4 linked regions of the Rattus norvegicus genome follow. The protein of the gene in region 1 interacts with the protein of each later gene in a pairwise test. Links are inferred from orthologs where the notes say so. Each region holds a gene or a part of one and is shown in the gene's direction. Other genes may lie near its edges.

Region 1 (4,379 bases):
ATGTAAAATGATGATAATAATACCTACCTCACAGGGTTGTTGTGAGGATTTAAATTAGATATTGTACGAAAAGTGCCTAGCACAGTGCCTGGCACATAATAGAGTAGGTGCTCAATAAATGGTAGCTATTATTATTACTATTTCTATTTCTATGTTGTTGTTGTTGTTATCACTAATTTACTCTAAACTTTTAGGGTATGTTGGGAAGAGAAAGCTTTTGTGAAGATAGACATGAAGCCTTCAAAGGTTACAAGTTTCTGGGTTTTGGCTTCTGGAAGGAGGTTGCTAGGAATAGTAGGGTTAGCAACCAGATTTGAACACCCACCCCTTCCTTTCTGCCATAGAAGTCTCTGGCCTGTTTAGGCAACAGATGTCTCTGTCCACTGAGAGAAAAACCAACTTTTCTAGATTTGGCAAAAATCAGACAGCCGTTTGTGTTCGGGTTGGTTCTGCCTCATTCTCAGTTTGGATATCATAAGAAATCTTTTTTTTTTTTTTTTAAGGTTGAGACAGGGTTTCTCTGTATATCCCTGGCTGTCCTAGAACTCGATCTATAGACCAGGCTGGCCTTGAATTCAGAGATCTGCCTGCCTCTGCCTCTGCCTCTGCCTCCTGAGTGCTGAGATTAAAAGCATGTGCCACCACTGCCCAGATGAGAAATGGGATTTTAAAATCCCATGCCCAACTAAACTGGAGTGGTGGACAAACAGGCTCCCTTTTGTAGCCTGGGATGTCTTGAAACTCCCTATTTAGACCAGGCTGGCCTCAAATTCACAGAGATGCTCTTGCCTCTGCCTTCAGAGCTCTGGAATTAACGGCATATGTCACCAGCACACCACAGTCACAGATTTTGCTGAGAAAAACACTAATGTTTTACCAAGAATTAGTGCTTTCCTTCCCAGCCTTTCTGTTTGGATAATTATCCCTGAGAAAGGGCTCAGTCCTATCCTGGAATATATATAAAACCTCGGGAGAATCAAATGTGTTAAAAAGCAATAAATTCAGCAGTAACGGGCTTATGCAAGTTGTGTTTGTAAAGTGAATATAGCCACTCTTCGAAATCTGGAGACAATAAAAATCTAATAATTCAAAATTTACAATTGGTTTCAACAAACAGCTTTGGTCTCTTAAAGCCTACCTCCTCTAACTAGGAACGAGAAGGATTACAGAGACTACACTTCCCGTGATTCTCAGTGAAGCAAATAGTCTGTGGAGCGTACCATGACCCGTGTTGCCAGCAAGACGCACTGAGGCCGACGTCGACTCTGTCTCGAAGGCTGTCGGTAGTTGTAGTTTTGCTAGACTTAGGGCACTCGGATGTGTCAGCTTGAAAGCTTCGGAGACTGACGGGACTTGTAGTCGCCGCTGGAGGTGAGCGCGCAGGCGCAGCTGCGGGCGGGGCGGGGCGGGGCGGGAGCACTGCAGTGAAAGCGGAGGCAGCAGACAGGCGAGCTGGGGGCGGGCGGACATCTTGGGATCCGAGAGTGGCCAGGCCTGCCTTGTGGGGGCTGCTGACTCCAGGTGAGCTGGGAAGCTTGACTTAGAGATCCTTACCGGGCGGCGAGGGTGCCGTGGTCACCTGCCCTGCCCCGCACTGTGCTGGGTGGAAAACTGCCCGCACCCGGGAGTGGCCTCAGCCTCCAGACCCGGGAGGGAGCAGACGACCGGGCGGGGGTGCCTTGGGCGCGATTGCAGCAAGGGCGGGGAACGACGCCCTCCAGTAACCCGCTGGGCGTCTCCGGGAGGAGACTCGGGCCGGAATCCTAGAGCCGGGGACCCCGCGCGGCGCCCCATCCCTAGAATCCTGACAACCGCTCAACCCCGAGGTTTCCCATTCTCCCATCCCCCAGGACATTGACATCCCCTGGTGCCACTCCCTTGGACAGTGACAGGTCTCTCTGGAACACTGAGAGATTCCTTCCTCCTGGTTTACCCCCCACTGCTCTTCTACCTCAGACCTATGACAGCCCCCGCATCCCTTGGTGACATCTCCTCGGCCTAGATGTCTCCCCCCTCTGCTGAGAAAAACTCCACCAACCCCTCATGCTTCACTAAAAGAAGAGTAGGCCCTATCTCTCAGCTTTCTCTTTTTCTACTGTCTATCTTTTCGCCTTGTTTTGCTCCTCCAAAGCTCCTATGACCTTTGTCATAGGAGAACTTGAGGGACTCCCACAGCTGTATTTGCTGCTGTGGGGTCATCCTGGTCTATTGCTAGCAATTACAGCTAATCGGTCCCTTAACTAAATATTCCATTTCTGTCCAGGACACAACACACACACACACACACACACACACACACACACACACACACACACACCACAACCACAGCCACCTCCACCTCCACCACCACTCCCACCCTCGGCTGATACCTGTGGACTTGGTCCTTTGCTCAGGGGACAACCTCCATTTTGCATTTTCTTTCTCACCTTCTTTGAACTGTGAGACAAGTGTGTCCACTACCTTAGTTGACTTGTGACTGGGTTTCAAGGGTTAACTTTTCAGTTTCAGAAAGTCTTGTTAGACTAACATCAGTGAAATTAATACCAGGGTTAATCCAGAAAAATCTAGAACCAGATTAACCTATTTTCTTAAATATTCTAAATTAATTTTGACCCAAATGAATTTGGGCAGTTGAGACATTCTGTTACCTTGCCCATTGCTTAGTAAACACCAGGCCAGAAGTGACTGACTTGGCAGCTCTGGAGTCACAATTTAGCAGGATTAATGCTACATACAGACCTAATTTTTGTCACATTTTGAAATTTTGATAAGACAGTGACCAGAAATAATTGTAAAGGGGGCTCAAAAAGAAAGAAAGAAAGAAAGAAAGAAAGAAAGAAAGAAAGAAAGAAAGAAAGAAAAGAAAGGAAAGAGGGACTTGGCATTTCAGAGTCCTTACTGTTCTTCCAGAAGACCTGAGTTCAGGTCTCAGCCCATGTCGTTTGGTTCAGTACTGCCTGTAACTCAGGCTTGTGGGATGGAGGGCAGGGCTCCACCTGACGTCTAGACTTCCACACACACAGCACACACATTGGCATACCTATGTGAAGGTAAAAATGAAATCTTTCTAAGAAGAACTTGGGAGCATTGGAGCGTGGTTTGTTCGCCCTGGGCCTCTCTGTTCCTTTGCCTGCTTATCTCACTGCCTGGGGAAGACGAGCCTGCTTCAGCCACATTCCTGGGTTTGTGTTAGAGCCTAAGGGCCTCTTCTCCCACCCCCACCTCACTCTGCACACCCTTTCCTGGAATGTGTAGCCTTGTAGACGGTCATGCTCTGCTGCCTTCTTGGAAGAATAGTGCTTGCTCTAAAAGTTATGCCTGGTGGCGGGCACAAGCTAACTCCTACCGCCTAATCCCTACCGCCATTCCTGCATCCGCGGGCAAGCTTTTCTCTGACTCACTGAAGTTGCGGGGAGTGAGAGTCTGCACAGCAGGGGTTTGAAAAGAATCTTAGCTGAGCTCAGCATTGTGAAGACGACGGGGAGGGGTGCGAGTGGGGGTGGGGGGGTGGTTACTTTCAAGCTCAGCCCTCAGAAAAGACTGAGTAAAATGGCCTTAACCCTGGGCCCCACACTTAAAGTACTGTCTCCTATCCAGTGTGGAATAAACAGGAACTGGAGCCTCGCTGTGCGTGCAGGCGGGGCTTCCTTGGGAGGGCTGCAGGGTCACTTGCTAGAGGACTGAGTCAGGAAAAAAGGCAGCCCTGTACAGCCCCGCTGAGATGGGCAAGGGATCTAAAGATTTCCCCATTCCCTATCCCCACCTTTCCTACCTAGGTCTGTTCTCAGAGCAATGGGTCACAGAGACTGAGCTGCCGCCATGATCGGAGGCTTATTCATCTATAATCACAAGGGGGAGGTGCTTATCTCCCGAGTCTACAGAGATGACATCGGGTAAGTCCCCTGCCTGAGCACGCTGTGCCCCAGCCCCCCCATCGCCTCAGCCTGAGCATGCAATATAGCCTGGTTCCATTGGGCATCGGCCCAGCTGCTAGGCTCAGGGCCTGGGGATGACACCTCCACCCCCTAGGGTTAGGAACTCCTGCCCTTCCTGCTCCCTGTAGGTCTGGTCTGGTGGCTGAAGATGAGTGCTTTTGCCTGGTCAGGTTGATTCTTCCTTTCAGGAGGGAGCACTATCTCCTGTGGGTGTGGTTAGTGTGTGCTCGGTGGTACTAATCCATCTAAATCTTGCTTTCAAATCCTTCTCATACTGAGAGCCTTCCCTAGATCCCCTTAAAACCCCTCTCTAGTCTGTTGACTCAGCTGTTTTCTGTTCTTCTGGACCCTCCCTGGTTGTGAACAGGCTGCGCTCTGTGGGTCATGCTGCCTTTGTAGTTCATCCGGGTGGACCTGGGTAGCGCCTAAGACCTCAGGTCTTAC
Region 2 (4,298 bases), on another chromosome or scaffold:
GGGTGTCTCTGTGTAACCCTGGCTGTCCTGGAACTCACTCTGTAGATCAGGCTGACCTCAAATTCAGACATCTGCCTGCCTCTGCCTCCTGAGTGCTGGGATTAATGGTGTGTCCCACCATCACCTGGCTCTCTTTTAAAAAAAAAAAAAAAGGTATAGTTATTTTAAAATTCTGCTTTTAAATGTGTTGCTTGAGCCAGGTGTGGTGGTGCATGTCTTTAATCCCAGCACTCAGTGGGCAGAGACAGGTGGATCTCCGGGAGTGCAAGGATAGCATGGAATACAGGGTGAGTTCTAGGACAGCAGAGGTGTTAAACATAAGAACCCTGTCCCAAAAAGAACACACACACACACACACACACACACACACACACACACACATTGTTGTGTTGAGCGAGGCAGAGTGCTTGTCTAGTGTGCACAGAGTCACAATTTTGATCTCAAGTACTACATAAATTGGAGATACAAGCCAGTAATCCAGTAGGAAGATCAGAAATTCAAGGTCTTCTTGTTTGGGCAACAAAGCACCTCATGTCCTGAACTGGAGAGATGGCTCAGGACTTGCTGCTCTCCCACAGGAGCAGAGTTCAGTTTCCAACACCACATAGATTGTTCGAAACGCCTGAAGCTCTACGGGATCCGATGTCCTCATCTAGCTCCAAAAGCACCTGCACACAGGTGGCGGGCACACGTACACAAATAAAAATCAATCTTTGATATCTGATTTCTTAAATAAATAAATAGCTCAATAGGGGCGTGGCGAGGCGCCTATAATCCCAAACACTCAGGAGGCAGGGGCTGCCCACATAACAATATAGTTTCAAACACATAGAAATTCAGGGGAGAGAAAAAAAAAAAAAAAACGTTGGTAAATACAGAGGGCCCTGGGTACCGCCAAGAAAAGGGATTGGGATCAGGATGAAATGTATTTGTTTCTAGATGGGAAAGAGCTGAACAGAGTACATTTTTGTGTTAAGTGAGAAAAGCACTACCAGCAACGGTGAGGTTAGAAACATGAACAGAGGATGCGACAAAGAGGCTCCCGGCCCCGACCCCACATCATAAGCAGCGAGAGGCGACGCAGCACCTGCCTGTCGGACAGTTTCTGAAGTACGAGGCCAAGGGAACAAGAAAGAGACTGCCGAGCTCCCCAGACTGCTGAAATAGAGAGGGGAGCTGGGGGGCAGGCCGGGGCGGGGCGGGGGGGGGAGCTGGACTTGATTTCCGGCACACTATCGGAATATACAGTCACTGACTGGCGACACCCAGTAACCCCACCCCCAAGGCGGGGTTGCGCCGGAAGAGAAACAGTCCGCCGGAAAGGGGGGGGGCACGCTCTGGAAATACCTTGCGCCCCTCTCACGTCAGTAGAGGGCGGAAGCGCAGACTACAGGATGCAGTTCCTGGTTGCGTTGCTCCTGCTGAGTGTCGCGGTGGCGAGTAAGGATACCCCCCCAAGCCCTTGTCATTCTCTCCCTTAGGTTCCCCATTCTTCACCTTGGTGGGTCGCCACGGGAGCTGTCGTCTTTCTCGCCTGACCCGACCCTCCTCTAGCAATCTCCACTGCTCTTCCATTCGGCCATCACCGCTAGGGTCTTAGAAGTCAAGCCCTTCTTTTCTCCCGGCCTTTTTTTTTTTTTTTTTTTTTTTTTTTTTTTTTTTTTTTTAACGTGGACTTACTGCTTTTTCTGTTTCAGGAGCTCTGCCATCCGCTTCTAAGCCAAACAACACATCAAGTGAAAATAATCCTCCGATTCAACCTTCCACGCCCCTGCCTCCTGGGGTTGATATTTCTCAACAGGTAAAGACTAACAGACCGACTGATCAGAGGCTGGAGTCGGATAAAGAAGGCCAGGACAAGACGGTGGCTAGGACTTCGGCATCAGTTTCCAGTGGGGTGGAATCTGCGACCAATCTCAATTTGGATGATTCCAAAAAGCACCCCGAAACAGCAGATGCCAAATTGAAGGAAACTTTGCAGCAGCTTTTGCCTGTGGACCCCAAACAGGAAAAGTCAGGTCAGAAGTTTACAAAAGATTCAGGCAGCCCCACAGGAGGTGATTCCGACAATACCACAGGAGGTGATTCTAACAAGACCACAGGAGTTGATTCTGACAAGACATCAGGAGGTGATTCTAACAAGCCCACAGGAAGTGATAATGACAAGCCCACAGGAGGTGATTCTAACAAGCCCACCTCCAAAGTCCCCTCCAATACAGAGACTCCAAAAATTGACAAAGTCCAGCTAACTGAAAAAGGACAGAAACCAACACTTATTTCCAAAACTGAATCTGGGGAAAAACTGGCAGGGGACTCTGACTTCTCTTTAAAGCCAGAGAAAGGAGATAAGTCTTCAGAGCCTACTGAAGATGTGGAAACCAAGGAGATTGAAGAGGGTGATACAGAGCCCGAAGAAGGTTCACCACTTGAAGAAGAGAATGAAAAGGTGTTGGGCCCTTCCTCCAGTGAGAACCAAGAGGGGACACTTACAGATTCTATGAAGGATGAGAAGGATGACCATTATAAGGACAATTCTGGAAACACCAGTGCAGAAAGCAGCCACTTCTTTGCTTATCTGGTGACCGCTGCTGTTCTTGTTGCTGTCCTCTATATTGCTTACCACAACAAACGAAAGGTAAGAGGGGACTGGAATGTCCAGAACCCTGAGTTCTTTGTACATGGGCAGCTATCTGTCACTCATCTGCCTGTGAGCTCAGAGGATTTTAAGATCATCTTCGGTTTTTCCTTAGACCTTGCTAGGACTCTGGGTTTTGTTTTGTAAATCATGTGACCCGTTTCCTCAGAGTTCTGCTGTAAAGTGCCAAGTTGGACGTGAATCTTGACCTGACCTAATTGTGATTCCCCTCCTGTAACTTGGAACTCAGATTATTCACAGCCTCTGTGAACCCAAGTTCTTGACAGGTAGATTTCTTCCCCTTTTCCATGCTTGAGATAGTTTACCATTTCTAGCTTTTATTCCAACTGTCTTCCATCTGGAGGCAGGAAGAATATTTTCAGTTACATAGTCTCTAACACCAGTAGTATAAAGCCCAAGAATGACTCTTCTGCTACCAAGAGTCAGAAGCAAGCCTAGAGATTGCATAAATGCACCCAACTTTGGGGTTAAAGTGCCACCCATGAAACAACCTTACAAACAACTCTAATGACAAAATTATTGTATTTCTTAATGAGCCATGAGATTTAGAAGACAGTTTCAGTAGCTTGACTTATTGAAGAATTCAGTTGGTGATAGCCATTGGGCATATGGCTCTAAAGAATGAAGAGTCTACATTCTTCGTTGTACATTTAAACGTTCATGATGAAAGCAGTAAATTAGAGAAAAGTTGAAACTGTGTGGGAGCAAAGCATGTGTTTGTAGCTAGGAAACCGTCATTATTTTTCCCCCTTAAACACCTGACCTAGAACTCTCTGGCAAGAGAACTGGCAGACCTCTAACTCCCATAATTAAATCATACAGATTTCCACAGGCTTCAGCCTCCATCTCTTGGGCCCTATTAAGCAGTATAAAGGATTTTGTTGTAACCAAGCCCCCTTTAAAATCTTGGGTGTGTGTGTGTAATTTAAATAGTCCTCTTTGTGGATCTAGGTAACTGCTTCTGATTTCAGGAAGTGAAGTCCCTCATTACAGAGTCAAATGTTAATCTGTTTTCTTTGTCCTTCCCTCAGATTATTGCTTTTGCCCTGGAAGGAAAAAGATCCAAAGTCACTCGGAGGCCAAAGGCCAGTGACTACCAACGTTTGAACCTAAAGGTAAGGAAGGAGAAACCCAATGTAGGAGGGATATGCAGCCTCCAGTGGGCCAGTTCTGGGGTTGCCGCAGCCATTGCTCCTAGCCCTTGGAGACTGCAAGTAGGACCGTCCGCACACTGCATGTGTATCTATCTACAAAGGTAGAGATAGAGAGGGCTTTCAGTCCTTTCACATTTGACAGATAAACAGATCTACCTGGAAGTGTGATTTTGTTTGTTTGTTTTCTTTCTGAGTTTCCACTCAGAGGAAATACTAGCACCTGATAGTAACTCTGTATACTTTTAAACACTTTCTTCACTATTTCAGCTCTTGACAGACAAATACTGTGATAAACACTGAACAATGTGATCAAAGCCAAATCTGATTTACTGAGTATGGGAGAGAACCTATCCATCCTCATTTTGTGGGGATCCCCACTGGCTGCCAGACCACACTTTGGGCAACAAAGCCCTGGATCACAACTCCCCCACAGCAGACGAGCACATAGGCTGCAAGCAAGCCCGCTGCAGGCTGGTCCTCCTGATGTG
Region 3 (3,477 bases), on another chromosome or scaffold:
ATGGGGTATTATTGTTGCATTTAGTGTGTTTGTACCCAGCAAAAGCCACACATTTGGGCAGGTTCTGGATGTGAATTAGAGAGAACTAAAATGCAGAGGAACAGCAGCAGATTACATGAGGACCAGAGGCTTTTATGGGACAGATGTGTAGGACAGAGACGGTTAGGCTGCCTGCCAGCCAGACTCCTAAGTTAGGTATCTGGAGCAGTTGTTGGGAACTGTCCCAGAGGGAATTTGGAGTGGTACTATGAGGTTTGGATCAAATGGGAAGAAGTCTTTTTAGCGGCACTGTGCCTCTACAGATGAGTGGGGGAGGAGGGGGTCTTGGGATAAAATAAGGAGAGTCTGGGATTACTTCACTGTAAAAGCAGAGGAGCCAGGCATGGTGAGGCATGCTAGCCATGCGGCATAGCTAGTTTTGGTGACATATGCCTTTAATACCAGGATGGAGAGGCAGAGGCAGGCAGATCTCTATGAGTTTGAGGCCAACCAGGGATACAGCTCGCTGGCTCTCTCTCTCTCTCTCTCTCTCTCTCTCTCTCTCTCTCAGGGATACAGCTCGCTGGCTCTCTCTCTCTCTCTCTCTCTCTCTCTCACACACACACACACACACACACACACTAACTCTGCTGTGCTTGGACTGGATGGAGATTGGGAGAGACTTGGAATGAGATTCGGAATGGGGGTGACCAGTTTAGCCTTACTAATCCCCTCTCCCTGTTTTTTGAGACAGGGTTTCTTTGTGGCGCCCTGGCTGTCCTGGTACTCTCTCTCTCTGTAAACTAGGCTGGCCTCAAACTCAGGTTACCTACTTCTTCTTCCAGAATGCTGAAATTAAAGGCACGTGCCACCACCATCCAGCTTCTGTGTGTGTGTGTGTGTGTGTGTGTGTGTGTGTGTGTGTGTGTGTGTGTGTGTGTGTGTAAAACCCTGGCTCACTGAGTGCCTCCTGCCTCGGCCTCCCATGTGTTAGAGTTGAAGGTGTACCCTATCACACCTGGCTCTTAGTAATGGCTCTTCTCTCTCTGCAGGGTGGTGAAGGAAGAGATCTCTGACGACAGTGCCCGCCTACCTTGCTTCAATGGAAGGGTTGTCTCCTGGGTAAGGGACTCGTTACCAAGCTGCTTCCAACCTCAGTCTATCTCGGCACACCCCACACACCCCCACCCCCGCATGCTCAGTCACTGGTGGCCCTGGCTTCCCTCTTTTCTACTTGTGGATGCAGTGAGCATTCCTCAGCCTTTTCTTCCTGTAGCCTCGCATACTGGCCCAGGTCTCTGGGACCCTGTTCCCTTTCTTTCTGGTCCTCTTCCTTTACTCTTTTCTCGTAAAGCACTTCCCAGTGGAGCCATGTTTTCTCACTTACACTCCCCTAGCTGGTGTCATCAGAGAGCCCCCAGCCTGAGACAGCGCCCCCTGCCCATGAGTCTCGGACAGAACTGGTTCCTCCACCTCCACCATTACCCCCTTTGCCACCAGAAAGGACCAGTGGCATTGGGGACTCAAGGCCTCCATCCTTCCAGTGAGTCTTTTACGGTTTTGAATCCAGGGGAGGGGAGCGAAGAGGGGAGACTGAGGATCCGGTGCTCTGTCCTTCTGACTTTGGTTGAAACTCTCTCTACCTGTGTAGCCCTAATGTATCCAGTAGCCATGAAAATCTAGAGCCTGAGACAGAAACTGAATCCGTCGTATCACTGAGACGAGACCGACCTAGGAGGAGAGACAGCAGTGAGCATGGCGGTGAGGGGTCAGGCCCTGGAGGCAGGGTAGACTGTGAGCTGGGCAGGGAGGCAAGCCTCAGCATGCCGAGCATGAAGAATGGGAGGCCTGGCTCCTGACACGTTTGTTTATACACAGCTGGTGGCCACAGGCCTGGCGTCCCCTCAAGGCTGGAGCGCCACCTGGCTGGGTATGAGAGCTCTTCCACCCTCATGACCAGCGAACTGGAAAGTACCAGCTTAGGAGATTCAGATGAGGATGACAGCATGAGTAGGTATGGCTTCACACATCTCTCCTCTGCCCGCCCTCGCCCGAGGCGCTCGCCCCTTGTCCTCCCTCCTTCCTAGCCAATCTTCTTGTTTCCTGTGACTCCCTGACCACTTCCACCCCCAAATGCTCTGCTTCTCTCTCAATTGCTATCAGGTTCAGCAGCTCCACTGAGCAGAGCAGTGCCTCCCGCCTCCTCAAGCGCCACCGAAGGCGAAGGAAGCAGCGGCCGCCACGCATGGAGAGGGTGAGGGTTCTTTTGGGAGAAGTAGGCTTTACTTTAGCTGGCCCTCTGACACAGGCTTGTGGCTTATGTCTCTGTTGATGGGGAGCAGTTCACATCTTCCCTGTCTTCTTTCTGCAGACCTCATCCTTCAGCAGTGTCACAGATTCTACAATGTCTCTCAACATCATCACAGTCACACTCAACATGGGTATGGAGGGTCCTGATGGCAGATGGGAAGGAGAGGGTCTCAGGGTTTCTGGGGCTCAGTCCCCTCATATGGCCTCCCTCCACAGAGAAATACAACTTCCTGGGTATCTCCATTGTGGGCCAAAGTAACGAGCGTGGTGACGGAGGCATCTATATAGGCTCCATCATGAAAGGGGGAGCGGTGGCTGCAGATGGGCGGATCGAGCCTGGAGACATGCTTTTGCAGGTGTGTTGACTGGCAGCTGGCTTGGGCAGAGGCTCTGCCTGTTGCACACTGCCTGTGACCCACTGCCCTTCCTTGCAGGTAAACGACATGAACTTTGAGAACATGAGCAATGACGATGCTGTGCGGGTGCTGAGAGACATTGTACACAAGCCAGGGTAAGTCTGTGCTGCGTCTGCTCCTTAGGCCTCGACATTGTACACAGACTATGTTACTCCAGGCAGAGTTGGGCTTTCTAAGCTTGGGACAGCCTGATTTACATAGTGAGTTCCAGACCAGCTAGGTCTACATAGTGGAGAAAAAAAACAACAAAAAACCAGTGCTATAGAGATGGCTCAGGGGTTAAGAGCACTGACTGCTTTTCTAAAGGTCTTAAGATCAAATCCCAGCAACCACATGGTGGTTCACAACCATCTGTAATGGGATCTGATGCCCTCTTCTGATGTGTGTGAAGATAGCTATAGTGTACTCGTATACATAAGATAAATAAGTCTTTAAAAACAAAACAAAAAACCTCCCAAAATTGCAAATCTCGATGGCATGTCACTTCAAACTAAAGCATGAAACAGGTGTGGGTGAGTACCTCAGAAAAGGCCACCCACTGTGTGCTCCTTTCCACTCCCACCCTCCTCACTGACGGTAATTACCGTCTTGGCTTCTTTGGTCAAGAAAACCTTTAATGGTTTTCCACCCATGCCTGAGTCCTGGAACAAGATGGTGTGGTGTTACCTGTTTGAGGCTTCCTGTGAATGAGCTGTACAGCGTGTGCTCCATTGTTTCACGCAGCAGTGTCTTTAACTTCTGAGTGTAGGTGAGTCATCCACACTGTGGAGGC
Region 4 (4,192 bases), on another chromosome or scaffold:
CCCTAGCTGACATCTCTCCACTTAACATTCCTTATTTTTACTTAAAAAGAAATTCTGTTATATGTGTGGGTGACCATGAATGATGTCATATGTGTGATGGTCAGGAGACAACTTGCAGGAGGTGGGGGATATCTCCTTCCATCTTGTGGGTCTAGGAATACAACTCCAGTTGTTAAGGTTGATAGTTGAGCCATCTTTCCAGGCCAGGATGTTTTAGTTACTCTGTGACAATTTTTCCTGTTTTGAATCTCCTCAGCATTTATGTATCAGGTTATGTGGCACTTTGTTTTTCACAGGGCATTGAGTTTACTAGAATATTAGAATCAACTTAGGGCAAGCATGGAAATGACATGCCTGTAATTTTTGCACTTGGGAGGCGAAGGTTGGAGGATCAGGAATTCAAGGTCATTCCCGCACTACACGGTCAGCCTAGGATACAGGAGACCCTGTCTCACAAAACTTAAAAAAAAAAAAATCTACTCAAGCCAAGAACCGTGACTCTTGATTCTCCTACGGATGCAGAGAGTCAACACATGCGCATGGACACCAAAGCCCAGCGCCTGCGCACTGGGCAGTTTTTTTCCTTTCGGTCCCAACCCTCCCAGCCCCCCTTTGGAGTGTGCGCACCGAGAAAGACAAAGGTGGTGAAAGTGACCAAGCAGTCATTCCGGCGCATGCCCATCCCTAAATTGCCCAGGCTCCATGGGGGCTCACTTTGTGGAGGCGGAAGTCCAATCCGACGGAGCGAGCGCGGCCCCTCTCTTCCCTTGATTGGTTTGCTTCCAGTGTTGTGGGGCGGGGAAAGGAAGGGACAGGGACAGTGGAAGGTTGGAGCGGTACAGATAGAGCGCTCATCTCGTTCTGCGCAAGCGCAGAGACGCGACCAGGAGGGGGCGTGAGAGAGTGCAAGAGAATGTGGAAGCCCTGACGCGCTGGCGAGCGGGAGCTAGGTCGCTAGCCTAGACGCCTGCGCCTTGGCCCTCCGGCTCCGCGCGCGGCGGGCGGGTGCCCTGTGCGCCTGCGCAGTAGGCGGCGGCGGCAGGGGGAGGTGGAGGCCGTGGAGCGGCAGCGGCAGCAGCGGGTCCCGGGACTGAGGCAGCAGCGGGGGCGCCGGCGGGCGGAAGCTGAGGTGACGAAGGCGGCGGCGGCGGCGGCCGTTTCCCTCACGGTGGCGGAGACCAAGGCAGCGGCGGCGGCGGACGGGGAGCGGCCCGGCCCCGGCCCCCTGCTCGTCGGCTGTAGCAGGGCCGCCGTGGGGCCGGCCCGGCTCCCGCCCCCCGCGGCTCCCCCTCCGGCTCCTCCTCCTGGGAGACGCCGGGGGCCCGGCCCGGCCCGCACTCAGGGCTCTGTTTCAGCTGCTGCCGGGGCAGTCGGAGGTGGTGGCGGCGCCATGGGCGGCCTGGCCTCTGGGGGGGATGTGGAGCCGGGACTGCCCGTCGAGGTGCGGGGCTCCAACGGGGCCTTCTACAAGGTGAGACGGCGCGTCGACCCGGGACACACTCCTTAGCCCCCTCCCCCAGCCGAGGCAGGGAAGAGTGCAGCGGGATCGAGTTTCTGGAGCTTAGTCCTGACCCTTCGAACCTTCGACCCACGTTCCCACTCGAAACCCTCCCGGGGAGATCGTGGGAGTTAACCCTCGTGCTTTTATTTTTGAGCCCGCTATTACACCTGCTTTTATCCTCAGCTGAAGGCATGAACATCAGGTCATTACTATGCGTGGATGGGAACCCTGGAGAAACCCCTTTTCTTAGCTTCTAATCGACTTTTCTTGTTTTTTAGTGTAGGAGATACTTCAGCTTTTAATCACATCTCCCCTACAGCCAAGCACATGGAGGATTCCCTTTCTTTTCCTACATGACCCCCTTGTGAAGGTCCACTGTGCCATATTAGGTCTTCGGTCTTCAGGGAGGCTTCTTTGCCTACTGGCTCTAGAACCATTTGCTCAACTTTCATCTTACATTCCTGTTCCCAGTCTGACAAGAAATGGTCAGAACCCATTTGTTACTTTAGCATCTTTGGCCTCAGGTTTTATCAGCCAGCCAGCCAGCCATTTAGTGGATTTGTTGGACAAGTCTGTCACCTACCACACCTTTATACCAAAGCCAGCTCTCCAGGGATGGATTCGTGTTTTATCTCTTTGACTCTAGATGTATTTAGGTCATTCCTATATCTTCTTGGTAAGTTTAAGCCTCACCATCTCTAAAAGGCCATCTCCACATGCTTCTGTTCTTCTGATTTCTGCTTGTTGACAGTCTTTTTGGAAAGAAAAAAGTAGCTTTCAGAATTGCTTATTTCAGCTTTTTCTTTGTCCAAGATTTGATTCCTGTGAACTTTTTTGAGGGGTGTGGTTGGGACAAGATTCCCTGGCTGGACTTGAACTCTTCTGTACTCCTTCCTCAGCCTAGGGTTACAGTTCTGGGATTATAGATTGAGCCACCATGCCAGACCAGAACTTTTGTTTTTTCTTTCTATCCATTATCCACCCCATCTTCTGTATCTGAGTCCATTCTGGATCCCCTTCACCCCTAATTTAGATTCAGACTGATTCTTCTCACCCCTCAGGTATTTTCTTCATCTGATCTTGTGGGGTTCTGAACCTCTTCTGCATTTTTTTGGATGGAATTGTCCTGGAAATTTTGGTTCCTCTCTTACTCCTTTCATTCTGGAGAAGAAGAATTTTCATAGCATTAGATGGGAGATGAGATTCCTTTTTCCTTCATGTTTCTTCTGGTTGTCTGTCCCCCTACCCTAGTAGAACTTTCTACTTTCTCATGCCCTTGGAAATAACTTTGACTACTATGAAATTGTATCTTTTTGTAGCTGAAAAGGGACGGGTCTGCCCCGCCTCTGTAGGTGTTTCCTACCCCCACTTCAACTGACCCGTTAGTTACCCACTGTGAAGGCCATGGCAATTTCCCCTTTTCTGATCACGTTCTTCACCCAGTGCCTATGGGTACACATATCTCCTAGCTTTAATTTAGCCTCTCAATTAAGTCTTGGTACTTTTGTACTCCTGTGGATCCTCATTGAGGTCCACCTATCTATCCTTTGTATAGCTGAAGAAGGTTCCCTGTCACTTTCCTAACTCTTGGTACTTTTTTTCTTACTAGAAGAATGTCTTTGTAACATTTCTGTTTTCTGTAGCAAAAGTCTCTTAATTCCTTTTGGGCTCTGATGGGGCTCTGGGGCTCCTTTCCCCCACATTTGTATTACCTTTGTTAAAAGTGTCCTCAGGCTGGGTATGGTGGTGCCTACTCTAATCCTAGGACTTGGAAGACTGAAGTAGGATTGTTGAAGTTCAAAACTAGTGTGGAGAATGAAATCAGACTGAAAAAACAACCCAAACAAAACCAAAAAGTACTCTATAAGTTGTTAGTTCTATTTTTCTTGATATGTTAGCCTTCATCTGTATCTTTCTCACCCCAAAATGTTAAATTCCAAGAAAAGTGAGATATGTATATATATATCTATATATATATCTATATCATATTTTTCTTTTCCTTTTTTTTTTTTTTTTTTTTTCTTTGCTTTGATTTTTGGGGACAGGATTTCTCTTTGTAGCTTTGGCTGCCCTGAACTCAAACTCACTGAGATAGGTTTGCCTTTGTTGAGTGCTGGGATTAAAAGCAGCATCCACAACCACTCCTAGTTTGAAAAGTGATTCTTCAATTGAGTGTGAGATCAAGATAAGATATTTGCTTTTGGTTTAAGGAAGCATGGAAGCCATGCGCAGCTGGGACATGGGACAGATCAGTGCTCAGTTCAAATTAACTGTATGAAGTGGTTGCAAAGGGACATGTTTTCTGTTACACATATGGGTAGCAAACAGAAAGTCTCTTTTGACTTTTGTCATTTTATCCTATGGGCCTATGGGCCATAGCAGTGATAGATTTGAGTGAAGCAGAGACAGGATTCTTTGATAGTATAGAGTTAACAGTTGAATAAAAGCCAAATAACATAGATTTTGTGTTCTGGCCACTTCACTTTCTGCTCCATGACTGAGTAAAAGGCAATTCCCTAAAATTAGACTAATCCTTTTTAAACTCAGTGTACACTGTAGATACTTGCGTATTCCAAGTTGATTAATATTCATGACTCAGCAAACTTTGATGTGAGTAAGGGAGTATTAACTGTCTTTTAGATCTTTTTAAGTTTGGGGAGATCCCTTTCTCCTTTCAAAAAACTGTGTTTT

Evidence for each region.
Region 2: the proteins of Ap2m1 (region 1) and Tgoln2 interact in a two-hybrid assay, tested with the Homo sapiens proteins (2 studies listed by BioGRID). The link is inferred for Rattus norvegicus from reciprocal best matches to the Homo sapiens genes AP2M1 and TGOLN2.
Region 3: the proteins of Ap2m1 (region 1) and Dvl2 interact in a two-hybrid assay, tested with the Homo sapiens proteins (2 studies listed by BioGRID and IntAct). The two-hybrid records come from large-scale screens. The link is inferred for Rattus norvegicus from reciprocal best matches to the Homo sapiens genes AP2M1 and DVL2.
Region 4: the proteins of Ap2m1 (region 1) and Fxr2 interact in binary tests that used the Homo sapiens proteins (3 or more experiments, as listed by UniProt). The link is inferred for Rattus norvegicus from reciprocal best matches to the Homo sapiens genes AP2M1 and FXR2.

Annotation. Positions count from the first base shown.
Region 1 is NC_086029.1:93,865,595-93,869,973, reverse strand, and holds the start of Ap2m1 (AP-2 complex subunit mu), read left to right. Parts: upstream 1-1,493; 5' UTR 1,494-1,521; intron 1,522-3,776; 5' UTR 3,777-3,819; coding exon 3,820-3,893; intron 3,894-4,379.
Region 2 is NC_086022.1:106,226,346-106,230,643, reverse strand, and holds the start of Tgoln2 (trans-Golgi network integral membrane protein TGN38 precursor), read left to right. Parts: upstream 1-1,381; 5' UTR 1,382-1,394; coding exon 1,395-1,440; intron 1,441-1,697; coding exon 1,698-2,635; intron 2,636-3,687; coding exon 3,688-3,771; coding exon of another isoform or gene 3,772-3,915; exon of another isoform or gene 3,916-4,298. UniProt on the Homo sapiens protein: May be involved in regulating membrane traffic to and from trans-Golgi network.
Region 3 is NC_086028.1:55,225,247-55,228,723, forward strand, and holds part of Dvl2 (segment polarity protein dishevelled homolog DVL-2), read left to right. Parts: intron 1-1,031; coding exon 1,032-1,101; intron 1,102-1,376; coding exon 1,377-1,522; intron 1,523-1,630; coding exon 1,631-1,740; intron 1,741-1,857; coding exon 1,858-1,993; intron 1,994-2,142; coding exon 2,143-2,233; intron 2,234-2,350; coding exon 2,351-2,420; intron 2,421-2,505; coding exon 2,506-2,645; intron 2,646-2,723; coding exon 2,724-2,800; intron 2,801-3,477.
Region 4 is NC_086028.1:54,848,298-54,852,489, forward strand, and holds the start of Fxr2 (RNA-binding protein FXR2), read left to right. Parts: upstream 1-1,371; 5' UTR 1,372-1,390; coding exon 1,391-1,471; intron 1,472-4,192. UniProt on the Homo sapiens protein: mRNA-binding protein that acts as a regulator of mRNAs translation and/or stability, and which is required for adult hippocampal neurogenesis. Specifically binds to AU-rich elements (AREs) in the 3'-UTR of target mRNAs.